Linked DNA regions of Struthio camelus. Each later gene encodes a partner of the first gene's protein in a complex. Links are inferred from orthologs where the notes say so. Each region holds a gene or a part of one and is shown on either strand. Other genes may lie near its edges.

The links.
Region 2: the proteins of ATP2B1 (region 1) and NPTN are in contact, whole or in part, in a cryo-EM structure (PDB 6A69), measured with the Homo sapiens proteins. The link is inferred for Struthio camelus from reciprocal best matches to the Homo sapiens genes ATP2B1 and NPTN. Residues at the interface, in NP_001353449.1 of Homo sapiens: Phe954, Asp955, Ile956, Asp957, Glu996, Arg997, Asn998, Val999, Glu1039, Gln1040, Leu1042, Trp1043, Ile1045, Phe1046, Met1049, Gly1050, Leu1052, Leu1053, Gln1056; in NP_036560.1 of Homo sapiens: Arg245, Ser246, Asn248, Arg332, Arg334, Pro339, Pro342, Phe343, Gly345, Ile346, Glu349, Ile350, Ile352, Leu353, Ile356, Ile357, Tyr360.

What each region holds. Positions count from the first base shown.
Region 1 is NC_090942.1:49,803,535-49,818,694, forward strand, and holds the start of ATP2B1 (plasma membrane calcium-transporting ATPase 1), read right to left. Parts: upstream 7,097-15,160; 5' UTR 6,923-7,096; exon of another isoform or gene 6,429-6,922; intron 5,590-6,428; exon of another isoform or gene 5,225-5,589; intron 1-5,224. UniProt on the Homo sapiens protein: Catalyzes the hydrolysis of ATP coupled with the transport of calcium from the cytoplasm to the extracellular space thereby maintaining intracellular calcium homeostasis.
Region 2 is NC_090953.1:24,104,070-24,120,240, forward strand, and holds the start of NPTN (neuroplastin), read left to right. Parts: upstream 1-9,993; 5' UTR 9,994-10,203; coding exon 10,204-10,291; intron 10,292-16,171. UniProt on the Homo sapiens protein: Probable homophilic and heterophilic cell adhesion molecule involved in long term potentiation at hippocampal excitatory synapses through activation of p38MAPK. May also regulate neurite outgrowth by activating the FGFR1 signaling pathway.

The DNA.
Region 1 (15,160 bases):
GAAGCACAAGTAGCACACAGGAGAAGAAAAAGCATTGAGCAGCTGAGGACAGGGTGGAAATGAAAGTAGCTATTAGGCGACCTCAGTCACCCCATGAAACTTTCCCCTCATAGTGACAAGCCAAAAGACAGAGTAAAGTACAAAAGAACTTGTTCTAACACTTTTGGATTACGCTGATCTAGCACACCAGCTTTGGAAGGCCATGACACAAACGTGCCATAACTTCAGAGTAATAAAAAAAAGCAATCAAGCATCTTGCATGAAATGTTAAACAGAAGATTGGCTAGGTACTTCTGTTAAGAATCAAAAGATACCCTTTTTTAAAAAAAACCGCCATATAAAAATAAAAGTTTTCCAAGCTTTATTTAGAGGCTTACTGTGGCCACTCTCCTACCAATTTATAATGTTCTATAAGTCTTCCAAAAAAAAGTTTGCAGTAGCTGCAAGACTTCACTTCTTCACTGCTAATGGCTAAGCCCCTTATGTCAACCAAACACATCATGACATGGTACTCTACTGTGGAAAAATTCCATCATATACAGCTAACGCCTCTTCTTCCTCCTTTCCCCATAAGAAGCTACTAGTTATTTTGTTTGTTTTGTTTTAAAGCCAGAAAGCTATTTTGACCGAAGTCACAGATGATGTTTACTCTATCACACAGATAATTTTTTGAGAAACCTGATTATCAATAAAACCCAAGAAGTCTCAGATTCCTTAGAAATGTAATAGTTCAGGAGGTCATACCTGATACTGCAGGCAACACATTCTTGCATTTGCATGCACACAGAAGCAATCCCGAAAGAGCCATATGGACAACTAGACAGTTTGTCTAATAACAAGTGCAAAAGGATCTCTCTGCAGGAGCACATTGTTTCATGGAATCATGGAATCAGAAATTGTTTCATGGAATCATGACTAAGATCACCTTGGCTTCAAAAACCTTAAAATGAGTATCAAAATTAGGGTTTCAACGAAGACATAAAACAATCTGAAACAGAACATACCACTGACTCTTACACTGGGCAAGTCCAAAGAAGTTAAATAGCTGCTTAAGGTAAGAGTGGCTGAACCATCTTTTTTGCCTTGAGATAAGGAAGTCTCACTATCATCTGTAAATACAGTTTTCACTATCAACTATTCAAAGTATGGCACATCCAAGGCCTCTTCTTCATAGATCAGACACTGTATACCAAGTGGTCAGAACCTAATAGTGTTGTATTCCCTACTGCCACCTTATCTTTCAGTGAATATAAGGGCACAAGTAAGGGTAGATTACAAGTGATAGGCTCTACAGAAGTGTGTTTTAAGAACGTTTCCTGCGTGCAACGAGAATTAAGGCCGCATCCCACTTGTAGGCCACATTAAAAAATTAAGACATGTAGACCACTGAAGGGAGATCCTCTTGTTCCTACTTCATAGTTACGCATACATGGAAGGCCATGAAGAAACTCACCTAGACCTCTCCTTCTCCGAAGCAGTACATCAGAGAGTAGCCAGCAATATGCCAACACTAGCACTGTGAGACACCAGTTACTTTCAGCAGCAAAATGAATCACACTTAGTGGCCAGCACCAAATCCTGTCAGAAATATCCTTTCATCTTCAAAATTTATGTATGTACTCCCTAACTGCATGGTACAGTTGCCACCAGCATGAGGGTAAACCTTCTTGTACCCTCCATATCCCCCAAAGAGAGGGCGTGAGATTTGTCTTGTAACATATCATTATATCTCATTCACTTTATTGGACCAAAAGAATTTGGATTTACTTTCAGAGTTATTTCCAGCCTTTCTTAAAAAGAAACAAAAAACAAAGAAGACCCACACACTCTCCTACATTTTCTTAACATTTCCTCTCCCACTAGACCTTTCAAATACCGACAGGGAAAGCCTCATGCCTACTTTGCAGTTCACCAAAATTAAGCGAATAACACCTCCTGCTGGCATCTGTCATTTAAAATAAGATTTATAAGTGGCAGCAGAAATCACTTTCATAATGTTTACTAGAATATGAACAGCTTGAGCAGGCAGATCCCCCAAATTTACTGTTCATATTAAGTGAGAGCTGTCATGAAAGCTAGAAACTCATTTTTATAAGCTGTATTTGAAAGCCTGATAACATAGGAATAAAATACAAACTGGACCATTCCATATACTTGTGTTGAGACTATATTCAGGTGTGAAAAGGTACAACTGCTCCAAGATGGGTTATTACAGTTCTTTTTGTCTCGTAATTTAATTGTACAAAGTACCTCTCAGAAATTCCTCCAATACATCTTCCATCCATAGTGCTTATTAATATTGCTTCCATCTTCTGTAGGTACCTGCCCTGCCCCAGATGTACTAAACCCATTTTTGCTCTTTACACATTTGAATGCAAATACTTGGGTTTGTTTCCATAAACTCAGCTCCTTCCTTATTATTTATCATTTCACTGTGTATTTAGTGAACATGATCTTTTCCAATATTTGAAGCCAAAGTTAGGGGAAAATCAACAGTAGTGACAACCATTTAAAAGTGAAGATGACCAAACGTAAAAACAAGCCATTTTCAGTTATATGAATAACTAGCTATTAACACTTCTGGCTAATATCCATCCTTTACCTAAGTCATAATATGGGTTCCCTTCCAGAAGGAAAAAGCAAACCACCACATACGTCACATCTACTCCTCTCCTTGCTTTTCAATCAGTTAACTTTGTAAGGAGAAATAAGTGATGCCTTCAGGAGCAAATTCAACATGTTTGAGTACAGAAAAATGAAACTACTGAGATTGTTGCACCCACTACAGAAGCTAGTAGGAACAGCTAATCTTAACTTTTTAGACACAGTACTGCAACTCCAAGATCTTATCTATTTTTTAATTAAAATACTCTACAAAGATCAGTATCTCCTGAACAGCAGCTTTAATGAGTTTTTTTTTATTATTATTGAAATAGTTGAAAAATATGATTAAATTTTTATTGATCTTTTTGGAAAGAGGTAAGTGTGCATTTCTATAACAAAAATCTACAATAGATTCAAGTACTCTCCCTTATTTGTCAAAAGACGTTTGCATTTATATACCCTGGGCTAATCAAGGTTGTCCATTACTCTGCATTAGGTTAATCTTTGCTAACTGAAAGCTGATTTCAACTCTGAGTAAAACATGCATCCTTGTTGCACTTATGTTATTTTTCCCGTTAAACAGGGAAGAGACGTTTTATATTAAAATAGTTCAAACACTTAAAGACATCACTGAGGTCATGTTTCAGTGGTAAAGAATGCTCAAGTGCCATTAATATTTAGTCTACCTTAATGGAAGAAATTTGAGTTAGAAGATACTTCAGGTTATCTTGTCCACCCCCATGTCAAGGGAGACTTGCTTGCTACGGCATGTTACTGACTGCTTTGCCGAATCCATTTTGAATTGGTTAGTTAATACAGGTCCCAGCTCTTCCTAAAATCTTAAATGCTGGCAAATTTAAGTCTTTTGCGGTGGCTTCAATAGATCCAATCTACATTTATTCTTTCTTAATACCTCCATCTTATAAAAAAACCTGCAAGCTGTTATGTTTCTCTTATTTCCTGAATAATCTTGAACAGATAAAAAAAAGGCTAATTGCTAGATTTTCCTAACTGTGAGCTACAACACATTTACAAGCTTCTCAGTTGCCTGTTAAGCTTCCACAACATGACTTAGAGGTTCTCAGTTGTAATAGCTGACAGAAGTTCTCTACACTGTGGTCCAGTGAAAGAATCACTTCCTAAATGAGATTTTAACATTAAATAAGAGTATTTGAATTACTAGAATCACTAACAATTATTAGCTGATTGGATATTATAAGAATAGGGATCCTTTGCTTATATCGTTAGCTCTAGGTAAAATAACTTTATAAGAAACCAAAATGTATCATCCAATGCTAAACACACAACAGCAGCTACTTAATATGCAATAGTGAGTCACTGTATTTGTGCATACACACAGTACAGCCACGATCCACTTTAAAATTAGCTTTGACTTATATCATTTGAATTACTGACATCATAAGCAGTTATTTTTTTTCTAAATGAGGTAATGTTGCAGTTCAGCACTGAACTAGCAACATTGATTGGGAAAGCCTTCAAGTGTTTGTAAATAACACAGGAACCCTATTTCTTGAGCCCAAATAACCCCTGTCTAGGTGAAAGCTTTCAATGACTAATGAATAAAAAGAGCAGCAATACCCTAAACAACTCAACAACACTGTTCCAGACCAGCAATTTCACCTTTTTTTAAAGTGTACGAGTATTTTTCAGATTGAATTCAGTGACCACTTTTTCCACTGACACTAAAAGAGTTTCCATTCATTATGCCATAAGTATTAAAGTTTAGTACATTGGAAGCTATTCCTGCCAAAAGAGTCAATGGTTCAAAGATACACAAGTTTACTCCTGTCGGAATTTGCTATTGTGATGTTTGGAACAAACCCTTGAAAAGCTCCAACAGTCAAACAAGAAGTCACACGGGCTATAGCTACAGCCATATATTAAGACACTAAGAGGAACCAAGGAGTTGGCAAGCTATCTAATCAAAATCTTTATCATCTAAAAATGCAATTTCGACTCAAATTCAGTAGGACTGACAAGCATTTTAAAGATGCAGCACCTTTTGGACAGGATGCGGTTTTCCAGAGATACACTATACTCCTCCTGCCAACAAGTAAGCCAAGGCTGTAAATTGCTAATGATGCAAGACACATTTCACAGGTACACTTGGCTTGGGACTTCATTTCCAAGAAGGGACATGTTCCAGGACATGACTTGAATATTCACTCAGCTAGCTACCCCTTAACTCACTGTTAAGCCAGATATCACTTTAAATACATTGTTAGAATGACAGTTTAAAACAAGGCATTAGGTATTAACAGTTACTTTTAACCAGTATGCGAGAAAAAAGCCCCACAAAATTAAGTTAAGAATTTAAGAATGCTGCATGTAATAGCTATTTAAGACTTTTTGATTTCGGTGATGGGGAGTTTATAACGACAAGAAAAAAGCCCCTGAAATTTTGTTACTGTGTACCTTTCTTCCCCCCCCCCCCCCCTTCTCATGCAAGGAGGAAAAAATGAAGTGAAACAAAAAAGAAACATTTAAATATTAGCAACAATTTTTGTTGCACGTGGAACACAAATAGCACTATTTAGACTCCTATCGCAGCTGTGCAAATTAATCACTCATCAGGCTGAAAAATCTGGGACAGACTCACCCTTAACTCCCGATTTTCAAGAGCTTTTATGAATTCAGGCTTACATCGCTAGCCACTCCAAGAATCGTCACTTACATTGCTAGAAGTTACATAAAACGAAATGCCTCCACAGATCAGCGAGACCAGCTTTATCGGTTAGGTGTCCGCGAGACCTCCTTTCCCGAAATCCTAAATTCTTCCTTCCGAACCGCTTCTACCCACAGCCAAGGAGAAGGAGCCGCGCTGCAGCCAGCCGGGGCAGCCTTCAGTGCAGCCTCCGCGCTCGCCTCTTCCGCACGCCCCCCCCCCACCCCTCCCGCGCCCGCCCCGTCGGGAAACACACTCCAGCGTGAATAACGAGCGCTCTCTTCTGCAACTGGCAGAAACCATCCCCCGGTGCCCGGGCCCGCTCACGTGGTGCGGCATCCAAAGGTTATATACACCATTTGGCGGCGAGTGACACCGCCAGCGCCGCGGCCGGCCAGGCGCTGCCCTGAGCGCCGGCGGCAGCCCCGCGCCCGCCCCAGGCTCCCTCCTCCCCGGGAGCCGCAGCATCCCTCCACCGCGCTAGCGAGCCGACCGGCAGCCCCCAGTCAGCCCCGCTCAGCCTGCTCCGACGGGCAGCAGCGCACGCCTCGGCCGCCGCCAAAATCAACCGCCCCAGGGAGGCGGCGGCAGCGGTGATGATGATGCCGGGCTGCCGGCGCCGCGCGGCAGCGGCTGCCTCAGCCGGCGGCGAGCGGGGGCTCAGCACCACCTTCATCCGCGGTGTGTGCGCGCCGGGCCGGGGCTCCGCGGGGCCGCGGCGTGCCAGCTCGCCCCGCCGCCGCCGGGGGGGGGGGGGGGGCAGCGCTCGGCGGGAGGCAGAGCCGCGCATCGGCTGCCCTCAAGGTCACGCCGCGCCCGGCTACGCGGCGGCCAGGTGCGCGCTCCGGTTACCTCCGCGGGGAGGACAAAAAGCGGAGAGCCGCCCGCCCGCCCGCCCGCTCGGCGCGGTACAGCGAGCCCCGCCGCAGGGGCGCCCCCCATGCGCCAACCGCGCCGCCGGTGCTGTGCGGCGCAGCGCCGCCCCCCCCCCCCCTCCGGGGGCGCGCCGGCAGCGGCCATGGCCGGCAGCCCCCCGGCGGGCAGCGGCCCCACCGCCGCCTGCACCTGCCGGCGCGCCGCTGCCCGGCCGGCGGCGAAGCGGCGCCCCGAGCCCCGCCGCCGCCGCCGCGCTGCTTACCTCGACGCCGCCGCTTGCAGCCGCCAGCCCGGGGGGGGGCCGCGATGAGGCGCCCGGGAACCTGCCGCCGCCGCCCGCTCGCTCGCTCGCATAAGGTCCCCGCGCTGCCCGCCCTGCCCACGGCCGGCCCCGCCGCGCCGCCCCCGCCCTGCGGCCGGGGAGGAGGGAGGGAGGGAGGGAGGGACGAGGGGGTGGGGGAGCGGCGACCGAATTGGGGAGGGGAGCGGCGGGGAAGGGGCCGCGGGTGAAGGAGGAGGCGGAAGGAGCGGGGGGGGGGGTCACGAACCGCCCGCCCCGCCCCCGCCGCCTCAGCGGGCAGGAACGGCGACTCGCCCTCCCGCCTCACGGGCGCTCCCGCCGCGCCTCAGCGCCCGCCGCTCCCGCCGCACGCACCGGGCAGCGCCGAGCAGCCCCAGCCCCACCGAGTAACCGCTACAGGAGCCGGGCGCCGCAGGGCGGAGCGAGCCGCCGCCGCCACCGCCGCGATCACTCACTTGTTCGCTCCCCGCCGCGCAGCCCCCTCCTCTCCTCTGCCCGCAACCGCCGGTGCCCGCCGCCCCCTCACCGCCTGCCTGCCGTGCCCCGGCCACGTGACAGGGCCCCCCGCCCGGCGGAGGAAAGGGGGGTCCCGACGTGCGGCGTCTTCAATGGGGGAGGGGGAGGGGCCTGCGAGAGGCACGGCGCCGCGGGGGGCGGGGCCCGCGCCGCCCGCCCGCCCCCCGCCGCCGCCGCCGCCACTGGCGGGCGGGCGGCTGACGCGCTTGTTTCCATGACGTCGGTGGGCAGGGCCGCGGCGTTTGATGGAGCCCGGCGGGCTTCGGGGGTCGGTGACTTTGCCACGAGCGGCTCCCGCGGGGGCGGCGGCCGGGGCCGGGGCGGGTGGGCTGCGCCCCTCCCCGCCCGCCAATTCCCGGGGCTCCGCGGCGGGGCCGGCGGCTGCCCTTGCGCCGGGGGCGGTGGCGGCGGCGGCGGCGGGAGGGGCCGGAGTCCCGCGGGGGGAGGGGGCGGGCCGCCGGCGGTACGCGGCGAGCCCCGGGGGGGCGGGGCGCCGCCGGGGGCGGGGGCCGCGGCCATCCCGAGGGCGGCGGGTGGGGGGCGGGGCCGCGCGCGGCCGCCCTAACGGTCCGCCGGGCCCGCCCGCGCGCGGTCCTCCCCCGCCCCGGGGGGGCGCGCGCGCCGCCGGCGGCCGTTGAGGCGTCGTTGCCGGCGGCCGTTGGGGCGCTGCCGCGGAGCGGAGCGGCAGCGCCGTGGCGGAGGGGAGTGCCGGCGGCCCCGCGGCGGGGTAGGTGTGGGTCGGCACCGCGGCCTCCCCCTCTCGCCCCCGGCGGGTGTGCGGTGCTGTCTTCAGAGGGGGGCTGAGGGACGGCGTTAAGCCCCAGATTGGTGACTGTGGAGACAGCGTTTCCTGGGGCGGGGTGGGGGTGGGGAGGAACCAAGACCTTCCTCCCTACCGGTTTATTCATCGTTTATTAAGAGTGAAAATGAGAACCACAGCGTTTTCTAGGTGAAGATCTCAGTACAATTGCGAAAATGAAGCAGTCATCAGCGAGGCTTGCCTCAGTGAGATAGATGTTATGTTCCTTGTTAAATGGGGCCAGCTGAGGTTCAGAGAAGGTAAAGGTTAAACGACAGAAGTGAGTGTGTTGCTCTGAGTGCTGTGGGGTGTGGGATCATCAGGTTTAGCCTCTTCAGGCTTACCTCTCTCTGGGATCACTAGCAGCTTTTGCAGAGGAAATGGAAGCGTACAGAAGCTGCACGTGTTCAGCACCTTTCTGTCCCAAGCCCGAGGACTCTTAGGTTGGACAAAGAAAAATTAACGAGGGTGTCAACATCTGGGCTCAAGTGAGTTGTCAGGATACACTGGAAGTTAATAACAGGTCCGGGAATGGAATTGAGAAAAAAAAAAAAAACCCTTCAAGTCTTTTTTTTCAATGCGGTAAATCAGTCTCTTCAATGAAAAATCCTTGTACACAAAACATACATAATTCTATAATCTTTTTGTTTTAGAGTTTTATTTTGACATACTGTCAACCTCTCTGTTGACCATTTCACTAGAATGCATGGACCAGCTGTGCTATAGGCTGTCAAATTCTTTTAGCCTACCATAAATGCTATTTCTCCATTGTTAGTGTTCAAACCCCACTGCTTTTAGAGTCAATGCTGTGTAAAAGGAACGAAGCTCATGTATCATTATTGTTATAGATCTGAGATGTTACAGAGAATAGGGAGTTAAAGCAACAGATTGAAGTCAGTACGAAACAGCCCACAAGGACTGGCAAATAAATAAATTATCCTAACTACATTATTATCACGGCTTGCTTGAGCTTCATAGTCTCTTTCTTACCTGTATCCCTGTTACATTTTTCTCTTTGTTCAAGTGAGGCAATCAAAAGAGGCTGTGAGCAGTAATTGGCTCCTGCCCGTTTTGGAAGTTGCTAAAAATACTACCTTACCTTTGCATATCTGAAGGTCAAATGAAAAATCAAAATACCGAGGTAGACAAATCCTGCAGACGAATCTATTGAGGTTCTTTCTTGCATTTCTTCCCAGAAGGGGACTATAAAACTATCTGAACACATATCAAACAAATTCTCCTACATTCTACCTGCAATTTAGCACTCGTATCTGCACTGATCACTGTAAGCTTCCCTAGGCACTTGAAAATTACATTTCCAGCTTTATTAGACTGGCAGATGTGTTCTGCACAGTTCTGTCATATCTCCTAGCTCTCAGGCAGACAAAATTAGCTTTGGTTAAGCTAAGAAGAAGATGATATGTTTAAGGCATTGCAATCTGAGTACATGCCTGTACCTGCTTCATTTTGTCTTTGGGGAAGGTAGTCAGTTTGTGCTTCAGTCTTTCATTTATCAAATGTGAATAATTTGTTTCTATTTCCTTTGTGAGAAGGAAGCAGGGATAGAAGTGATAGGTACCAAAATAATTTTGTGAGATACTGTTGTAGCAGTTCATTAAGTGGATATGTTTTTCATAGGAAGGCACAAAATAGTTACTATTTAATGTTCCTCTTACACGAATATACCAGGACAACATAAAAACATGCAGCACAAATTGAGTGAAAGTAAGAAGGAAAAACTCCTTGTAGCTCTAGAGAGTATCCTATGTATTCAAAAAGTTTTTCAGATTAATCCTCCAGCTACAATATTCTTTATGATTTTCGTGAGAAAATAGGCACTCCTCCTATTTCTAAAGGTTAGGCACATCTGATCGAGTAACAAAACCTTCCATGTAATTTAGGTCACCAATCATACAAATCAAGCAAAAATAAAATGCACAAAGGAATATTTCTGGAAATATTTCATTTCATTTTTGAGGAAACATTACCATTTCAGGAAAATTCAGTGTGGTGTGCAGACAGTTTGGAAAGGCCAGATTTGACAAATAATGACAATAGCTCTAACTCATTTTGTGACCAACACTGTAGTGACGGAAGTACCATAGATTTTTACAGAAGCAGAAAATGTGTCACAGAGAATTTAAGTGGGTTGCCTGCATCTGATCCATTTACTATGAGGCTTTTAGCATAAAGAGCATGAATTTGAGTGTTTGGATCATTACAATATTTGGTCAAAAGGGAGTAAGGTGATCAAGGCCTGAGTGACCACCTTCACCATTCTGTATGAACTAGGGGCCTTTCAGCAAACCTGCGTAATGGGCTTGACCCAAGAAGAGAAAATAGCACAGTCTTTTCCTAGTTTGTGCATGGATCAAAACCTCACTAGATTTTGAAACTGGTTTCCTGACTGTGCTGCGAGTGCTAATCCTGTTCAAACTGAGCCAATATAGGAGTAAGTGGAATCAAGGCTTTTTTAAAGTTGATGAAACTGCAGAGCGTGCAGCAAGTGTGAAAAGTTAGGAGAATTTTTGCATGCAAACATGAAGAAACGAATGGCCAAAGATTCCACCAGTTTTGCATGAGAAACTTTTACCAGACTAGCTACATATCTTTCAGTCGACTTTCTCAGTGCAGTACTACTCTGTTCACACGCACTCTACACAGACCATTCTAGGCAAGAGTCCTTTTCCTCCTGTGCTCCTGGCTGGAGCTCTACAGCAACTTTCTGCAATGTCGTTAAGGTGGTGTCTTATGTGACAATATCCTGTATCATAACAGGTTGATCAGTATGTTGACTAAAAGACTGAACAATCTGACTTTGCAGACAATTGACCTCTCTTTTTGTCTTGTAGATGTCATCGTAGCCAGATTGCACTGTCATCCACCCATTCAGTTTAACCAAGGCCCTTGTGAAACAAAGCGAGCTCACCTAATTTATCTTGAAATCAAATTTACCTTTCCCTTAGGAAATAAACTTATCCATAAACATCCACAGATTTATCAGCTCAAAATTCTTTTCTTGACTGTTCAGGAACTCAGGATTTATGCATAGTATGTTTCCATCTGTGAATACATATGATAATCTAAGATATTTGAAATTTCGTTCTCACTTTCATTTCTGTCACAAAACTTTTTTTTAACTATTTTTCTGTTATATTCTTTCACTGTGATAATGCACAGTCAGGAGGGTGAGAAATAAAAAAGAAGTAAGATAAAGAAAGGAACAAGAGAAAGGAATGATTGTTACAAATCACCTTTTTTTCATTTATGTCATACTTGAAATCCACCGAAAATACATACTGGACTTCATATGCTCACTAACTGTTTGTTCTTTTCATGTTCTTTTCAGGCGCTGCCACGGCACACTGTTATTACAGCCCCAGACCAGATAAAAGAGTGCAAAGATACTTCGTGAACAATGGCACAAAGTCTACATTCAAAGAAAAAAATAGCAAAGTATAAAATCCTGGAACTGACAGAATCTGACTCTGTAAGGACTTGGATCAGGCATGAGAGAAACAAGAAAAAGAGAGCAGGGTAGGATAACTATACTTTACACTGCTATAAAGAGCAGAAAATAGCATGTTTGGGAGGCTTCTCAGGAGAAATAGATGAAATAAAAGTAAGTACCACTGCAATGAGGCAGCACTACGATGGCTGCCTCTTAAAAAGTGAGAAATATCTGGTGAATAATATTTGCTATTACTCTGCAAATAGTGGGCTAGTACAGCCCAAAGTGACATACCATGAGCACCCAACTACTCCTACTCCAATGTCTTCCAATGTGACACTTCCCTATTTTTGGAGTGTTCCTCTTTTACTTTCTTCCCCTATAGCTGTTTAGCCTTTTTACTTAATACTTGAATTCCAAAAGGATGGCTAAAAGTCCCAAGCAAGGCTATTTTGGAGGCAATCAGGTCCAGTTCACTAGAAGAGTTTGTTAAAAATAGCACTGCTGTTGCCCATCTCCAAAGAACTGCTGTTAGCCGTCATCCATCTCTGTGCCTCTCTCTGGTATGGATATGTATTTGTCAGGCAGCACAGCTATCACCCCAAGATTCATAATGTGGGAATATCCAGTATACTTACTAAGGTACAAAAGTACTTTTCGGGGGGTTGTGGTATGTAGAATTGGGCAATAAAATACAAAAGGCCAGTTTGTTTGGATTATATTACTGTGGATGACTTCAGATATGTTGCTTTTTGAGACTTCTTAATGCTACACTTCTGTGGAGAAGTTTGTGATCTTACCTTTAAGAGCATATAGTCAGCTAATGTTAATTTGTGAAGCTGCATTGATTTCACTGATTTTGTGGGCCTGTGCCAATTCATGCTGACTGAAAATGTGGTTCATAAAATTTTACGTTGTGATACATTGCTCTGTGATCAAATTATAAGTATTTTGTTTATTTTTTCCTTCCTCCCCTCCCTCTCTAAAAGATAAAAAACATCAAGGACAACCAAGCTTTCTTTCGCTGAGGCTATCAACATCACTGACCAGCCTAAATCACACTACTGACTCACAGAAATTAGTGTTAGCAAGAGTAAATATAGCCCCCTCCCCTCTCTCTTCAGTGCTAACTAATTGTCTTGAGTGGGACAGTAAATTGTCCGTTACTGATGCTACTTCAAAGTCCTTTGGATAAGAAAATAGATAATTCAGTTAAGCCTTAGGTTCCTTAAGCAAACATTAACATTTCTGCCCCTTGGCGATTGTTCAAGATGGTTTTGAAACATTTAAGAGTCATTAGAGCTAATAGCTCCCATTCTGAATTTCCTTCAAGGAAGAATATCAGAAAAAAATGCACTACCTTATTCCCACTCCCTTAGTCAAGAATTAATCATTCAAGTGATAAACAATGATGGTAACATACTTGAATAAATTATTGGTCGTCTTTGTTGATCAGATGCAGATCTAAATCATCTTGGCTGTTTTTAAGATACTAAAGATATAACAAGAAAAAAATCCCAGCTACCTAAAGTAGCATTTTTAAATATTAATAATGACCTATTTTACATGCACAGAGTTTAAAACTCTGGGCTCAGTTGTGCAAGCTTTATTCAGGAATAATTATTTCTTGATTAGGAATTGACGATCTGAAGATTATCTATATAAAGATCTAAATTTGTGTAGCTGTGGAAATGTGTGGATATGCAATCTATAGTATTAAAACATTAATGTAAATCATTATATATAGTAGTATAGAGTATAGAAAAGGTATTACATAAAATGCTTATACCTGTACGTATATAAAATCAAGTATACTTAGAGTGCTTAAGCTTGGATTATGGTCAGCGAAAAGAAGAAAATGTCAACTGGAGAATTGTCTCTATTATCACGTAATACTACAACTATAAATATTCAGGTTAGTAGGAACAATCTTTTTAATATAATTTAGAATGTTCCTGTAAGGTTATTAGCTAGTAAAAATGAAAAAAATTAAAATACTTCTTGTGACATTGACTGTATTCCTATTATGTATTAGCAGAAGAGATCAATAGGATTTTCCTCTGCCTAAGTTTCCTCTTGTCAGTTACATAACATGGCAGCCATGTATTGAACCAGCAGAGTTTGAATATATCATGTTGTGGACATATCTAGTAATAGGACTGCTGCAGGTTGTTTTGAGGCTATATCCTGTTATGCGGCAGTAAAGACAGTTTGGTTTAGGACAGAACTGGATTAAAAGATATAAAAAAACCCTTGTACATAACAGCAGGGCAAACACTGACAACTTTATTATCTTTGTTTCTGAGTGACTTCAGAGAGAGTTGTGCATACTTAGTAATTGCTAAAACTAACACCTCTGTTTCTAAAAATACCTTGGATTAATTAAAGGAGTTTAAAAATTAGTCTTTATAAGGGACTTTTAGATCTACTCAGCTCTAGATATAGATGTAAATCTTAAGTATCTTCATATTTTGAGTTTTTCTCAGCTTGGTGATAAAAATGCCAAGTCTGTTCCGCTGTTATAATCAGTTTCTAGAGTCTTTCAATTTCAAGCCCTCTACCCCTAGCAATGGCTTTCAAACTGGAGGCGGTTATGATAGGTTTCAAATAGCCTACCAAGGTAACATGAAGGGCCCAAAGCTGATCTGTGGGACTGTATTTAGTAGTATGTTCTGCTAAACTCCTAATGTATGAATTTTCCTTGACAGCATATGTAATGATTTGTAAAAATCTCAAGGGCTGGTGATGATCCACTGATCTGAACCATCTGAGAACCACTGCCCTAGCATATTTGTGCCATTGTGTGTGGGTGACTTGAATGAAGCTCAGCTAGAATCATCTCTCTCGGTCCTCTACTCTGGACTAAGAATAATGCAGGAGAGGCTTTTGTTTTATAAGGGGGATGGTACTAGGATCCTAGTGTTCGTAGTTCTCTGCTGTGTGTAGGGAAAAGTGCAGAGGGGACCCAGTCAAGGATTCAGTCAGATACTGTAGTTTCAGGTACGCTCAGATCAGATGTTTGGGATCCTCTAGAGATCTTCTTTTAGGATTTTCCTAGCCTTATCGTGAAGGCTGAACCACACGCATTCTTCCACCCGTCTTTGTTCCTTTGCAAAACTCCCTTTGTCTCTTCTTCTTTTATGTACTCTGTCCTTCACTTTTCTTTCAGTTTAGCTTATTTTTTTCCTCAATAACACCTTTCCCACAATCCCTGCCAAGCAAAACAAAACCCAAGAACATCTTGTGGAACTAATGCATCAGATGATTAACTTGCACAGTTTGTGCTGTTGGTGTGTGATATTCCTCCTCTGCTCTCTGATGGTCTTGTCAGTAGGGTGGGATTGATTTGCCCTAATATAAGGCATCTAAAATGAGCACATCTAAATCTATGCTAGTAATCCTAGGCTCCTTTTATAGTCAACAGTGAGAAACTGGCACCTCCAGTAAGGCAAAATATCATCCTAAGATTAATGTCTAGGGTGATTCTGCAGTTGTCTGTTTTTCTCCATCAATTGCGAAGGGAAACGAGGGTGAGTAGTAGGGATTTAAATGTCTAACTCTTAGAAGGTTAAAAATGGGTGACTGAGGCAAACAGCTCTTTCAGACTACATGTTTTTCTGGACTCTCTTCATCTGTGTGCCCTTGCTTTAAGTGGCCACTGAACTGGACAGTAGATACCAAGAAGCCAAAAATAGGAAAACACTACCTTAAGAGGACCGGCTTTTAAGGCAATCCACTGCTAGTGATTTTTAATTAGTGCATGTGTTTCTCTAATTCACACCGTAATTTCTACTAACAACTTCCGGTAATTAAAGCACTGAAACTTGAACTGAGGTGAATAGTCCTTTTGAAATGTATCACGTGAACTTAAGTCGCCACATGAATGAAGTACCTGAGGTTCCAGTGGAACGATCTGTAAGGAAAGGG
Region 2 (16,171 bases), on another chromosome or scaffold:
GATGGACCAGCAAGACCTAGAGCACGGGCCAAGGGATGCACACGTTCATGCCGGAGCGGTTCTTCTCCTGGTGAACCAGCCCTCGGGAGCAGGAGGCACTGCGCGCTCCCAGGTGGCGTCGACCGTGCGAGTCTCAGCAGAGGCAGGAGCTCCTCCGTTGCTTCTGCAAAGCGCCCTTGTTCCTCTGACGCCGTGCCGTCACCGCTAACCATACCCGGCCCGCCACCACATCCTCCTGCCAGCAGGCGAAGCTTATTTTTGGAGCCCACCTTGTGCTGCAGAGAACAGAGCTGATCCCAAAAAAGGCCCTTCCCAAAGCAGCAGCTCCATCTCAGCATCATCTTCCTCCTCGTTCTCCTCTTCCTCCGATGCGGTTGCCAGCAAGGGAGAATGGCAACTGCAAAAAAAAAAAAAAAACCCACCACCACTAAGCTCATCTGTGACTGATGCTTTAGGCTTATAAATTGCAGCTGTCCCATGGCAACGTGTCAAACGTATCGCGCACAAGTTGCTGCGTTCGCACCATTACCCACATCGCAGTCCTACCCGTAGCCATCTGTTTGGAGCCGGGCCTCTCGACAGGTGGCTAGTGGGATGGCAAGAGGAATCATGAGCTTCTTAGGAGATCTTACCGCATGGGATACACTGATTTTCTCCCAAATACCCTGCCACCTGCTTAGGAACAGTCCCACCAGGCGCTACCTGGTCTGCCCGACCGGAGCAAGGCGCCCACGCTAAACCCCGTCATGCTGACAAGTAGCCTCGGGACAGGTATTTGAGCTCGTGCAAACACGCTTCTCCAGCAGCTTTTTTTTAACCTTTAGCCTGTGGCTTGTTTGCGCTGTGCTGAAACCAGCCCTGAAGCAGGGCAGATGTCAGCAGAAAACTGCAGCACCCGCTTCCCTCCGCGCCGTCCCCGTCTCTCTCAGCTTTCTCTGGAGACCGCAGGTAGGAGTCCTGGGGGCTGCATCGTTTCCAAACCGCCGCTTCCCCCAAGCGCTGCAGCCCCGTTCCCGCGGAGGGGTCCAGCCGAAGGGTGACACGATGCTCCCCGTAGAGGGGCTGCTGCTCGCAGCTGCACAGTCCCCCCAGAGCACCCACCAACCCCGCTGCTCCTAGCACCCCGGGCTTGCTGGAGCAGCACATTGCCCCAGCACCCAGCCCCAGCAGCCACAAGTTCTGGCAAGGACCTCCAGGCGTGAGATTTCCAGCCTTCCTCCCACTCCTTGGAGCGACCCACTTCAGCCTTTCCCAAAAAACAGACGTGCCTTTTGCTGCCGGCAAGCTCAGGGCGGGTTTCCTCCCCGACGCATTTGCTCTCCAGGCTCAGCAGCCCCGACCCCCACCACAGCGTAACCCACTCGCATCGCAGGTTTTGCTGGGAGAACCAAATTGCTCAAGTGTTTTTTGTCCGTGAACTGTAGACCTGGAAGAGGAGACGTCACCGACTGACCGCTTGGCCCAGGAGGCCCCAGCCTGGCCCAGGTAGACCCCTGCCAGCTGGTTCGTCACACTCACAGACAGGTTTCCCCTCAGTGCTAAGCCTAAGTTTGCTTTTTTACAAATTAAGCTCTTTCTTGTCCCATTCCTGCTTTGCAAAAAACCCAAGTTCCCTTTCACGTGCTGGAAGGTGTCCATCCCTCTTCGGGCATCTCTTTTCTAGACTAGACCACCGCAGTCCCTTCACCCTTCCCTGGAGGCTGTGCTTTTTTAAAATCTCTGCTCTCTCCTGTTTCCTTCTGGATTTTCTCCAGTTTGACCGTGTCACGTCCAACATCCAAGACCAGGCACAAGATCTCAGCTGAGGGCCCATCGGCGTTGAGCAGAGCGCAGCCGCCACCTCCCACTTCAGTGGGGTCCCTCTTAACAACACCACCTTTCCTCTTCCTTAGGGGCTGCCCTGGCCAGTTTATCATCTTCTCCCACCCCCCCAAAAAAACTAGTTCTGCTCTCTAAGAGCGCATGGGAAGGAGGTTTCAGACTTTCCACTGGAACTGGCTCCCCCCCTCCCCACCACACTTCCCTAAAAGGGTAATTCAAACAACTGTAATTGTACATTATTTTCTTTCTGAATTGCCCCTCTGGATACTTTATCCTCTTTCAGCATAGCTCTGAGGAGTACAATCTTATCTTTCAGCTCCAGCAACGCTGACAATTTCCTATCTTCTGACACCTTCTGCTCATCACTACGTTAGGCCTTTGTTGTATGGTTGACTAAAGCAAAATTGCTTTTTGTTGCAATTTTTCTGCACCCTAACCCAGAAATGCCCAAAGAATCAGAGTCGCCTTTCACAAGGCTCATCTGTTGGCTGCTGTAAGAGTCGCCCCTGCTCCGTCTGAGGCTCCTCTAATTCTGTACCAGCCGTAATGTTTGCCAGCAATTAAGTCTCCCCTATTGACACTGTGCAGAGCTTTTGTAGGTGAGATACTAGAGATATTCAGCTGAGCCCATGGGCACTCCCCGCTGTCCCCTATTGTTTGTTTTCTCCTATTGAAAAAACTCTTCTGCAGAAATTGCTTTTCGGTACTTGCATCCAGAAGCTTTTCCCAGCTCGCTCCGCAGCAGCTTCCTCGCTCGCTTTTGTCTAAGGAGCGAAAAGCTCTGAAGCTCAGACTTTTCCCCCTACGATACACCACATCCCAAAACTCTCCCATGGGAGACATCCAGTCTGCCTTCTTCTCCCCATTTAGCCCAGCACCAGGCCTCAGCAGGTCACAGTACAGCCCAGCATGGTCCTAGCCCTCAATCCAGCTCCTGGGCCAAAGCCCAGTCCAGCAGCAGGGCAGGACCAGGCATAGGCTCACCTGCACAGCCCAGACCAGGGCCCCAGGCCTGAGCTTAAATGGAGCCCTGGAGCAATGGGCAGAGGGTGTGGGGGGGGGTCCCAGGTGAGGCTGCTCAGGCCATTAAGGGCCCTGACACTTAGAAAAGTTTGGGGCTGGACCCACAATCCCTCCTTCCTCATGGTCACTATTTATTTTTGGCATCACGTTCCCAAGGGAGAAGGGAGCCTCAGGTTGCATCAAATTGCTTTTGTTAAGCTGCTGCATCCCTAGTTAAAGTAAACGTGGCCTCTCCTCTGGAGATCCTCTGGCTCGGGCTCTGTCCTTCCCCCCTCTCCTTTGACTCCGCGTTTTCTATGAGCTGCTGCCTTGTTGCACCCTGAAGGGTGCTGGTTCCCGCTGAATTGCTCTTAAAAAGGTTTCTTACCCAGTTTGCACCTGCGACTGGGAGGGACGTCCTCCGTCCCCAAGCCAGCGCAGGCAGCCCCAGCTCAGAAAGCCTGATCCCGGCCCGAGGAAGCAACGGGAGCCGGGGATATTAAGGCTAGAAAAACCACACATCTAATCTGACCTCCTGCAGCACGCTGGAGGTTGAGCTGAGGGCAGGCTTAGCTAAGTGTATCGCTTACCGCACTGCACAGGCAGGCTGACACCTTTAATCTTGATTTGGCTGGTAAAGGCTGACCTGCAGGGGACGCTGAAAATCAGTATCTTTGCACGCGGGATACGTACAGTCGCCCGCCGCCCATCGCTGCAGGAGAGCTGGGCCGCCGTGGGCCGGGCTGCTTGCGAGCTCTGGGCTGATCTCCTGCCCGGCCTGTCCCCTCCGTCGGCCTCCGCATGATCCAGGCCTTATTGGCTTCATTTCACTGCAATTACAGGCGTTTAGTCGAACGTATTGGCGTTTCTGCCCGGCTGGCTCCGCGCAGGCGGCTGCCGGCGGGCAGCGGGAGCGCCGCCCTCGCCGGCAGCCCGGCCGCAGCCCCGCGGAGCTGCGCTCGCGCGGGCGACGCTTCCCAAAGCGCTGCGCGGCGCAGGGCACCCGGCGGGCGACGCAAGTCAAGGGTTGGCCCGTCCTCTCCTTCTCAGCAGGCCCAGGGGATGCCCGACGGCGAGCAGGGCCAAACCCAGCCCTGGCGAGGAGGTGAGGGACCGCGCGGCTCCCTTCGCCTCCTGGGCAGCCTCTGCCTGCGGGCTCAGCACCTCTGCGGCAACACCAGCGCCCGGAGGGCGCTAACGGGCATTAATAGCCCTGAGCTGCCTCCCCTGGGACCCCCACCCACCCCCTGCCCATGGCTCAGGAGCCCATTTAAGCTCAGCCTGGTCCTCTAGTCTCTTCTTGAGTTTTGCTGTAAGAGTGCTGGTCTCCAGCTTTGCTGTGGGTCCTACTGCTGCAGGCTCCCAACTCCTAGGCTGGCTTCCCAGCTTGACCTTGGACCTGTTTCATCGCTATGGACCTGGCTGATGATGCGGACTCTTGGCTGACCCTGGCTGCCTCCCCTGGTTTGCTTTGCTCAGGTACTGTGGGGCTGGACTGTGGCCAGCAAGACCCCTGCCCTGCTGCCCATGTTGTCCCCCCTTGGCTCCCCATCCCTCAGGGAGCAGCTAGCTCTCGCTGCTGCCTGACACAGCACCCCTGCTTTGTAGAGAGACCTCCACCATCAGTGGTTGGTGCCCTTTGCTCATTGCAAGGACCTCAGGCAAGCCTGATCTCCAGCTTAAAAACATCACAGATGGCTCTGGGGAAGAGCCTGAGGGATGAGGTGCCCCAGGTCACCGCGTGCAGGACAGAGAGCTGCAATGGAGAGCAGCTCCCCGGCACCCCCGTGCTTTTTACCTCCCAGGGAGATGCCGCGGCACTCGGCACGTCTGGGCAATGCGGAGGGCAACGGGCCGCCCTCGCTGCAGGAGCTGCCCCAGCCCGGCTCGCACCGCCGCACAGCCGGCCCTGCGCTAATCCATGGGTGCCACCTGCCGTCTGGTTTTGCCGGCATCATCCACAAATTCACCTTCAGGCAAATTGCTCCAGATGTTTGGGGTTTTCCCCCCTGCTTGCCCGTCACCCGGCCCCTCGCCGTGACCCGGGGTGGGAGAGAGCGAGGCCGGGCGCAGTCTGCCTTCGCCGGGATGGCAGGGCCGGGGCAGCTCGCGTGCGTTTGCTCCTGGAAATGAAGCTGTTGGACTCAGTTTAACCAAAAGTTGGGCGGGGGAAGAAAAACATTACCGTGTGAAGGAACCAGATGAAGAATTTGCAATTAAGAAAAACAATTTTTTTGGTTGGTTCAGAGAGAAGGCAAAAAAGCACTTTATTTTTTTCTTGTTCTTCCCCCTTTCCTGCAGAAAAATAAGTCGAGGTAAGAGACAGTTCAGGGTTTTTCTGGTATAACAAAGGCAATCCAAACATGCCAACGCTTCCTGTTTGAGCAGTTTTGTGTTTATATTGCACATCATTTTGACCAAAACTACACTTTCTGTCACAATGTTTGTTTTGCTTGAAAAGACATTTCTCCTCGGGAAAAAAAATAAGTTAAAACATTTTGACCAGTTCTGACAGGAACATTTGAACATGTAGGAGAACAGGGGGGCTGCTCGAAATAACCGAACTGCCATCACCGAGTGGAGTTGACGCGTGTAAAGCTAACTGTCTCCAAAAGAGGAAAGCACATCTACACCCATCTTCTCTAATTACTTTCCTGGGGTCTTTCCTCTCTTTCAGAAACACCATTTCTCTGCCTTTACAAGTTTTTTTATTCTCCTCATTCCTTAGAACATTTCTTTTTCCAGTTCAATCTTTTTTCCTCCTTTTAATTTCTTTCCTTTGGGATTTTCTCTTCCTCCTCTGTCTTTCCCCATGAATTTTGCAAAAACCTGTCCCCCTCACCTATTTTTTTCCTGTTGGCTTTTCCTCCAAGCTCCAATACTTCCATCAGCCAGCACCCGTTGACTTCCTAGCTGTGATTTTTGGCGTGGCAGCGTTAGGAGATGCTGAATGCTGGTAGCCGGACACAGGGGAGGCTGCTGCAGCTCTGCGTGCCCAGGTCCAGCCAGCAGCGATGTCCCAACAGGCACGCGTGCGTACTGCACATACGTACACAGACAGAAAACACAGCACTCATGCAAACAGAAGCAGCACCAACAGCCTCCTCATCTTCTCTCTGGCTGATCAGGACGAAATCCTGTTGGTGGAAAATCTATACAACGCGGATTCCTCTAGCGATTGGTTTTAGACACTCGATCCAGTTGCTGGCACCCCAGACACGCGGGTTCTGGGACTTGTGGTCTGACTCCCAGGGCTGGTGCTTAGACCTCCAAACAGACACACACACGAGGAAGAGCGAGCCCCTCACTCAGAAAAATAGTTATAAATGGAGTTTAACAAAAAATGTAGTAAGACTGTGGTGATCAGCTGCAGGCCAGACAAGCGTACTGGCAGCCCCGTTTACACACGACTGGCCCTTTTTATCCCCTTTTCCCTTTTACTTTCTCATGCTTTTTCCTCCCCAAACCACCTTGGTGCCTGCCTTTCCCTGCCCTGGGTCCTTCTCCTAAGCATCCCGTTACAAGTTTTGCACAACCCCGAGCTGTTCTTCCCCCGCGTCCCGTCAGGAGTCGTTCCCCTGTGGCTGTAAGGCGAGTGGGAGAGCCACCTCTGTTGACCCACCAGGAGATGAGCGGGACGGCGAGCTGCAGAGCGGCACCCCTCCAGCACTCTGCAAGGCAAGCAACGGCCGCTGAGGCCGAGGAGCCCAGCAGCTCGAATCGGAGTCTGGCTAGCCTCACGTAATGTGTGTGTGTTGCATTACGTGTTTGTTAACTCATCTGTCTCTCTCCCCCGCACATGCAAAACAAACACAACATATATCTCGATCACGCATTTAGCAATGCAGTCTTAGCGTGCAGAGGCATTTTGGCTTGCAAGTACACCGTATGTGTGTCTGGCTACAAGCTGATTTGAGTACAGATCTGTGTTTTCACTAGCTTGGCACCATCAAAGTATTAACCAATGTTATTCAGCATTTCTCAGCCCTGTAAGACCCCTGCAATAGCTAAGTTCCCTGCTAGATGTCACGCAACGTTTCACACTCTACCCTACGTTTTCAACTTTTCAGTAACAGATTCAAAAGAAGGTGACTGCAAGTGAGATCTCTAGCGGCAAAGCTTTCTTCAGGTGCCAAACTATATCAATAAATACACAGAAATAAATACACAGGTGTCTGTTAACCAGATAGAGTTGCAAGAAGACGGGCTCAAAGACGATGCACACATAGGGGCGATGCCTCTGCTGCTCTACAATGCAGAAATAACTGAAACTGTTTCCTGAATTTTCTTCTTCTTTGCTTGTTTTTAAGTGTGAAATATTCTACGCCACTTTTGCTGAAGACCTGAGAATAATCAAATGAAGGCATCCCAGGTGGTGAAAAGATGGGCTTTGACTGAGGGGGAGGAAATAAAGGGATTTTGAGTTACAGTATTTGGAAGTTTTGACATGTCCAACTTCCCCACCCACTCACAAGGCCAGGAATCACCAGCGCTGGGATCTGAACCCACACCAGCAAAATCGTCGCCCATAAGGCCCACACTTCAAAGATTCAGTCTGGTGGAATTTGTAATAAAAACTGTTCTTTCCTCACTATCAAGCCATTATGCTCAGTAAATATTACAGTGGGTCCAGGATTGGCAAATCCTGTTTTTCTACCCAGCAACTTCACTATAAGTACGATCTGTTGTAAGAGGAAAGGCTTTTGCAGATGAAAAGAGCAGGTTTTTATTCCTTACCAGCCACGGCAGCAGCGTATGGCAGAACACATCTTACTATCTATATATAGCCCGTGCACACTACAGGCCTGGTATTAACCCCATTGAAATCCCTCAAAAAACTCTTGAAGACAACAGCAGGCTTCAGATTGGGTCCGTCGCTGGCCCTCCTCTGTGGCAGGCCAGGGTAATCCTCCGCTTCGGTTCCTCACGTGCATTGGCAGGAGCTCTGTATCAACCATAGCCCGCAGGCGAGCTGAGTCTGCACTTCTTCATTAACGGCTCTGGGTAACCATCTCCTAGCAGAGCCTTCGAGGGAAGCCCCGGCGCCAGGGATCAGCGCTCCAGCTGGTCACAGCGCCTGGCAGGCACGTGCACCGGGGCGAAACCAGCAGAAAGCGGGGCAGTGCATCTGGGGATTGCCCCCAGGGCAGAGCCAGAGAAACCTGGCAGATGGGTTATGCAATTGCGCAGAGAAGATCTAGCAAAACTGCAGTGTGCTGAACCGGTAACGGGAAAAAAAAAGCCTGCTAACTTCGGCCCAAGACTCTGGCAGGATGACTCATTGCGAGCTACCATGGTTACGAAACAAGTATTACTGTGCAGATCCAAACCATGCTCAGAGGCAAGTGCATCACTAACTAGTTCCAAACTTGGAAAACATTCGCGTGTAGGTAAGGCCTAATACTGAGTGGGTGTTTGCAAAAATGAGAGTTACAGCAAAATCCACTGGTGCTAACGTTTGGCAAGCAAAATAGCAGGCCAAAAGCAGAAGGAAGGACACCATCACGTGAAGCCTTGCTTTCTGGTTCTTCTTGCCTATTCCTTCTGGTTTTCAAGTGCTACTGTCAGAAATGTTCCACAGCATCATAAATGAGGCGAAAAAGAGGATGTTTCTGCACCATGGCAAGAAAACAAATAGTAGTGTCACAGATGATTCAGCTGGCAAGAGCACTGAGTCATGGAAGCACACCATGGCACTTCCCAAGCGCAGGATACATGGCACAGTGGAATATCTGACGCGGATCAAATTTAGTACCGAGGCATCCTTGGAGAGCTAGGGACAACCCTGACTACATAAAGCACTAAACGCATGCCTAGCCACGTCTCCTGTGTGACCTCAGCCACTCGAAGCTGCAGCGGTAAGCCCATGGCCATCGCCAAAGTCCTGAAGCACTCAAGCAGCAATTTCATCGGCCTCAACTGAGTAGCGGGGTTTTCATGGAAAAGGTGTGTCAGCTTCTCCTTTTCAGTCTGGTTTCTGAGACACACGGACACTAAAAGGACACGGATTCTGCTCGCTAAGGATCCGCAGAGAATAACCAGGCCAGGCCTGGGAGAACGATCAGGGAGGTAAAGCCAAGCAGCCACCAGGAGCCTGCTAGGGAAGAGGGAGGGGAAGGCACAATTTGTGCAGCCGGTGCAGGCTGCGCCCTGGTCAAACAGGGTGAGAAGCTGTTACCCTTCTGGAGGCTACTACCACGGAGGTGAGCAGGTGCTGCATGCTCTTCCCCAGTCCACCGCGTTGCGGGTTCACTGACGCGGCCTTCAGGGCAGGGATGTCTGCAGACAAGGTAGAGAGCAGCAGAGAATTAAGACATTATTTTAACGGGATTTAATGGCAGGGAAGGTTTCCCTGCAAAGGGCAATACAGCTTCTAGCGGTGCTAGCACGCTCCCAGAGCCGCTTCTCCGGTTAGAGGAGAGGATAAGGAATATTAGACGCTCCTTGGACAACTACCGCAGGAGTCTGATCCTGTAGGGATTTCTAGATGGGAGCGGTGTTCCCAGCAGAAAGCAGAAAACGCGTTCTCGAGGGATTTTCCACTTCTGTGCTGGTGCCTCCCACAGTCTTCTGCGAATCTCGTCTCTCCCCGCCTCGGACGCTTGCTAGAGCGACGGGTTGGCGTTCGGCAGCGCGCTCCAACCGTTTGCGCCGTCCTGTGACTCAGAGCTGTCAGCAATCCGGCCTAAACGGCCAGCTAAACCGGGTTTACAACCGCCTGGGCTCGCCGGAGCGGTACAGAGGCAACCAGAGCGCAGGCCTGTCTGCCTTTTGCAGCCAGGGGAACGAAGAGGGGACTTAGGGGACCTGCCCAAATCGGGCGAGCCTAGAGGTGGGCGCAGCCAACGGGCGGCCGGTTCCCGCTTGGCCTGCGCCCGACTCTACTGCCCGCCCGGGGCAAGCTCCTCCGCGGCCTGGGCCTCAGCGCCCTGCCCTGGCAAAACACCCAGCCGCTGGGTATTTCTGCGGAGAGAGCGGTCTGCCGTGCTGCTGCGACGGCCGCCCACGGGGCCCGGCCACAAACGGGCTCCCCGCGGCGGGCAGCGCAGCGCAGCGGGGCCCGCCCGACCCCTCACCGCCCGACCCCTCACCGCCCGACCCCTCACCGCCCCTCACCGCCCCTCACCGCCCCTCAGAGCCCCGCGGCGGCGCCCGCCCGGCCCCGCCCCGCCCCGTCACGTGCCGCCGCCGCCCCGCCCCCGCCCGCCAAGTCTCGCGAGAGCCGGCGGCCGCGTCGCGAGAGCTGGCGCTGCGGTAGGAGGTCGGAGGCAGAAGGACGGAGCCGGAGCCGCCTCGCTCCCCGGTGCCTCCCCCGCCCGCCCGCCTCGCCCCCGCGGCGCCGGCCGGCCTGCCTGCCTGCCTGCCGCCCAACACAGGAGGATGCCGGGCTCCGGGCCGCTCCCCGTGGCGCTCTCGCTGCTGCTGGTCACGGCCAGCCTCCTCCCGGGACCCGCCGCGGCGCAGAGCGGTGAGGGCGGGCGGCGGCGGCGGGGGGCGGGCGAGCGGGCCGCGCTGGGGTGGGGGGGACACGTTGCTAGGGGGGCGGCTGGTTGCTAAGGGGGGGCGGCTACGGCGGGGGCGGAGGGTCAAGCGGCGGCGGCAGGGCGGCGCGCTGGGCGCGGCGGTGGCCCGGGCGGAGGGGCCGGCGGGCCCGGGGGCGGTGGTGCTCGGGCCGCCTCCCCCCCCGCCCACCTCGGCGGGCCCGGCCGGTGCGGCGCGCCGGTCCCCCCCGCTCGGAGCCGGCCGTTCAGGAGGCTCCCGCGTTGTTTGGGGGGGGGGGGAGCGGGGCCCTCGGGGAAGGGGCGGCTGCGGGGAGAGGGGGCGGCGGGGCTCGTCCCTCCTCGGGGGCCGGGGAGGCGCCCGGCGCTCCGAGCGGCGGCCTGCCCGGGGCCTCGCATAAGATGGAACATCTCTTCCCGCCTACTAAATCTGCATCTGCTGAGCGGCTTTAAATGATTTATAATGCAATAAAATTGTAGTTCCTTAGCAACTAAGGAGATCCTCTGATAGGACCGCAGAAGGAGGAAACCCACCCTGCTCTGTTCCTTATAGGACAGCATGGGCTAAATCTAGCCCAGCAGACCTCCTCCCTGATGAGTTTGCAGCCAAGTGCATGACAATTAGTGGCAGAATGAAGCGGGGCCAAGAGGCTGGCCTAAATGAGTGCGATCCTAGCACTCGCAAGGAAGATCCTGCGGAGCTTATAAAAATGCGTGTCTTAGCATGTGATCCTGAGGCCAGAGTGCATTGTAAAGTCAGTCCTGGGCGCTCCAGAAGCGCGGAAGCGCAGTCTTTCTGACGGGTGCTTTCTTGTGCAGCATCACGGTAGAAGCGCCAAAGGGAGCCCTTCGGCACGTAACGGCTATAAAGGTCAGGGATACTGACCTCACAAGAGACCGATTTACGTGCCCTGGGAAAACCTGTCTAGGTGGGAACAATACCTCCTTACTATAACGGTGGAACACAAGTTTTCATCGTTGCTCCTTTCTCCCTCCTTCCTTTCTGCTCTGGAGGTGCTATATAGACCTAGCAGTTACCTTCTCTTGAGGTGAGAATTTTGCATTGCAGCTCCATGGACTGCATGCTCTAGAATAACCAGGAGGCTTTCGGTGTGTTTGACGATTGTAATGCAGACATAGGTTAGAGTAATAATGGCCTGAAGATCCAAAATATGAATTATTGCCTTGGGATGTGCAGTGCGAACCAGAACTGAGCTTTATGTTAACCAAATAGAAGCAGCTTGAGTAGGTTCATTCACGCTACATGAATGAAAACTGTCGGCTTCCTGCAAGACCAGGGACTTTCTGAGGAGCCTAAAGGAGTCTGGGCAAATTCCGGGGACGTTCAGTGGGAACTGGGCATGTCAGTCCTGTGAGCTCCCAGGAACGCGCTAGTTGGATGGTGCTGCGGAGGAAGTCTGGTTCTGTGTTGCAGAGATGCTGCCTGGTTCCTGTGATAGTTCTGCTATCTGAGCACCATCTTGGCAGAGTTCATCTGCCGATGTTATGTTTCCAATTTCATTTGGGTGAAGGGAGGTGAGCAGTCTTCGGAAACACGAGCTAAGTGGGTCGTGTGCCCGAAGCTTGCTAACTCTACGCAGGAACAGCAGCGTGTCCAGGAACAGCAGGGTGTCAAATGCTGGCAGTTGGTATAGAAATTCTAAGTAGCCGGCTGATAGGCAGTGCAAACATTTGTTGTTTGACAGTAATTACAGGTCTGAAGGTCAAAAATGGAATAAATTTTGGGGGGTAGATGGAAGTCTTTAGCCTTTCTGTGCGTTAATCATGACTCCCATTGCTGATGTGAAGCTAGCCAAGCAGTACCAACTGTTAGCATGAGGTAAGACTGGAGACCCCAGATGTAGTCTGAAAGCTCGTTCGTTTTCATTTGGTTAGCTAGGGTCATCCTAGCGATTAAATGGTAGCAGAGACTGAGCTTCTGTGCTGAGCTAGAAGGAAATGCGCATAGGTGTGTGGAAGCCTTCTTGAAAAGGTGTAGAGCGCTTAAATTTTTGTAAAGCAAAGTGAAAGGTGGGAAATCCTTCTGAAAGAGGGTTTATTGCCGCTAGTTGAAGCGCTGCTCCAGCTTGAATATGAAAAGAAATATAAAGACTGTAGGCCCAGTCGTAGAGGAGCTGTTTTCTTTTGGCCAGCAGTGGCCAAGGAGACGCTTACCAAGGCAAAACAATTCCTTTTTGCTTTGGTGTAAAGGATGTGTACAGCCATTTAGTAAACTGTGTATACTTCTTGCGAGTCATTTGAAAAATAGTGTTCTTTGAATAGGTATGTCTGAATACGTTAGTGACACCTTGGTTAAAAATCCCTGCATAAATACTGACGGGTATGCTCTTCGAAGGATCCCAGAGCGTACACCCAAGAGTTGCACAATCTGTTATTGATACGTAGCCATCGCTGTAGTGAAAGGTGACACTCCAAAGTGTTTTTGGAATGCAGAGTAACACTATGCCAGCTTAGGATGAAAAATGAACAGTAACGTACCTGTTGAAACTGCAGGAGAGGTCACAGTGCTTGAGGAAACCACTCACTTCACCAAAAATTATGTGCTGTGGAATCCTGGCTTTTCTGTTTCTGATAAGAGATAACTGTTGAATTGCTAGTGATTTTTTTAATTAATGTAGTTAAGAATATTTGTAATTAAAATGACCTACAGATTTAAGCCTACTAAAACTGTAAGTTGGTTTTTTGACGTTTGTATGGATTCTTTTTAGAGCTTCTACATGAGCACCTGAAGATCACAGAACAAATTTACATGTCAGAAATTAAAACTTTTCCCAAGGAGTCTTCTGAGAAACTTGTCAGGTTCTGCAAGGCTGCACTTCTGATGCGTGCTAGTTTGTCACTTGTATGCAGAGCGTAGCTTAGATGAGGTGACAGAAAGGAGGGACAGAAGAAAGATGAGGAAGCATGAGGAGGAACAGCTGGAAAAAGTCAGTCTGCCAAGAAGATCAGTGTAAAACTGTAGCTTCCAACTGTGTTTTGTTGGAAAATTACTTTAGCACTTCAGACCAGATGGTATCCTCCTGATGGAATGATGCTTGACCTGGGTACTTGTTGTTAAATGACAAGCCTTTCTTTGGTTGCTGTTTTTTAACCATAGCAATATATTTGCCTCTCCAGCTGCTTCTTTAAAACTAAAGACTTCAGTGTACTAATACTTTCACCTTAGAGTGTTTGGATTTAAAGGAGCATGGCTGTATTTTTACTCAGGTCTAAAATAGATGCTTGGACTGACTCTGTTAAATCCCCAGTGCTTCTCCAGTACACCGACGTGTGAGCTGATTCACTGTTAATTTTTAAAGTTAGTGCTTCCCTTTTCAGAGCTCTGGTCTGGCAAAGCGCATTTGAAAACAAACTCGATCACGTTTTGTGTGGAGGAGTGAGTTCTTCAACATCATATTTTTTTAAGTTGTGAATGCTGATTTAGTAAAGCTACGTAGGATATTCAAAGCTAGACGTAAGGACAAATAAAGAAGTTAGCTGGCACTTGTGTTGCATCTGCTCTTCTCATCCTCTGGTTGGGTGAGTGAAAGGGATCTAGCTGGCTAAAAACATGATGTGGCTTTTCTCATGGCAGAAACCAGTACAGACGTGACCATAAAATCGAGGTGTAGTTGTCTCCCTTTAAAAAAAGCAAGCAGAAAACCTTCCTTTTATGCTTGTAATGCTTCTTCTGACTGCTGATTCTCATCCATTTTGCACTGATTGTATCCTCTGACAAATGATTTTAATGGTCCCTAGGTAAAACTTAGGAACAGTTTCATGCCGCATTTATGGAGACTGAGTGTGGGCTGAGCACGGAGGAAAATGTTCAAAGTTCTCTTCTCTTTCCCACTGTTTCTTTTCTTCTTCCTCCTCCAACTCCCCCATAGGAAGCTTAAATACAAGCAACATGACTAATGTGTCTACACTTGAAAATTGCACTGAATTCTAACAGATCTCTGCTGTCAGGTTAGGCAGGAATAAGCACTAGTACTAATATCTCAAACAATATTTTTAATTCTGGCAAAAACCAATTCAAACCCACAAACTCAATGAAACTAGTTTTAAAGGGTGACGTTTGCTCAGAGCTTTTTCGCATCCTTACAGTATGATACTTTACGGAGACTACTTGCTGTTACGTTCAGGATTAAGGAGCGTTGTCTCCCTCACAGTGAGCTGCTTCTCTCGCTGCAAGTTCTACTTTAGAGGAGGCAATTGTAAAACACAGCATTGTAAGGGGCAGTGCTAGCCTGTGAGGAGTCCTTCTGTTGTAAAGCCAGAGCAACTGTGTGTGTGTACTGTTCTTAACTTCTAGTGTTGGAGGTGCTCCAGCTCCCCTTTACAGATCTGTTAAGATTAAAGTTAGCTAATCTGTTTCTGCTTATCTGTTAGCTGGAAAGTTCTTCTGTAAATCTAACCTAAACCTGCTTTGCTATCGTTTTAGGCTTTGTATTCCTTATTCTAAGCTGCACAGCTATGGGGAGCAGTGTATTTCCTTGTCATCAGCAGCTACTTTCAGTGCTCCTCCAGGTTACTTATCATGGTCGTTCTTCCTGACCATTCCTGTTGCTTTTCTGTGGATTTTCTCCAGTCACGTTTCTTGGAGTGTGATATGTAAAACTGGACACAATTCCAGTTGGGACCAGACCAAAGTTCAGCAGAGTGGAAGGATCACTTAATGTGTCTTGCATATGGCGTTCCTGTTTGCATCATAATACAAATGCTTTTGTGCGATATAACGTTGTTGACTCGCGTCCAGTGGGATCCCTTATGGTGGTCAGATCTTACTGTGCAGAGCTGCTACTTTACGTTCTATTGCTGCCTAAACCAAGTAGTTCTTATATGTTCTTATTAAAAAGGCATCTTATCTACTTCTGATGTTTTCTCCCAGTTGTCAAAATTGTTCTAAAATCTTACTCTTTTCTTGAGCACCCACCGCTACTTCAGCTTGCTTCTAGCCCATCATTGGCCTTATTGCTCTGTTTTTCATCTACTTGTTTGCTTGTTATAACGTAGCTTCATGTACCGTGTGTGTGTTTTAAGAGATAGAGGTCTTATTTTTGGTTGTGAGACTCTTGTATGAGGCAATATTAAAAGCATTACCAAAATTAGGAAAAATATATCTATTCCTTTTCTGGAGTGACCTTGGTGGTTTTTGTTTTTGATTGGCTTTTTAAGCAGGAGACTGGATTGTCGTGGTCAAGCTGTAGCAAACCACTGACATGGTAATAAAGCTCTGGTTCCACCCCCGACCCTTCTGCTTTTTTGAGCGCTTACGAGTAGACTCGTTCTGTTGTCTTTCCAGAGAGTGGTATTGAATTGACTGATCCACGATTTCACGGTCTTTCCATTTTAAGCATAGGTGGTCTCTGCCCTTTTCTGTTCACCCACAAGTGCTGTAGGATGACTTTAATTAAACCCAGCAACTTGACAGCATCTAGCTTTCCCAAGTGATCTCTAATGTGTTCTTAGAGCTCTTCCCCAAGACCAAGTGTTTATCACTATAATACTTCTGCTCTGAATGGCAAATGTAATGGTAGAAGCTGCTTTCAGCCTTTTCTGTTCACCTCAGCCTTGTAAGCATGTCAATGCTGTTCAGCGGTTGTTGGCAGGAACCCGTTTGTGATTAGGCCGCTGCTTCTGTCTCGAAGCGAAAAACTAGATGTGCAGATTTAGAATCTGATTCTATACGCAGTGGACTAGTCCAGTCCATTAGATGCTTGAGGATGGCCTTCGTGTATTTGGTAAGACTTTTAAAGGAGCTGTTCTTATTTGTATTTCAGAAAGATTGTGGTGACTTGCGTTTTTTTTGTGGTGGTGGGGTTAATGCGCAAATATGAAACTGGACT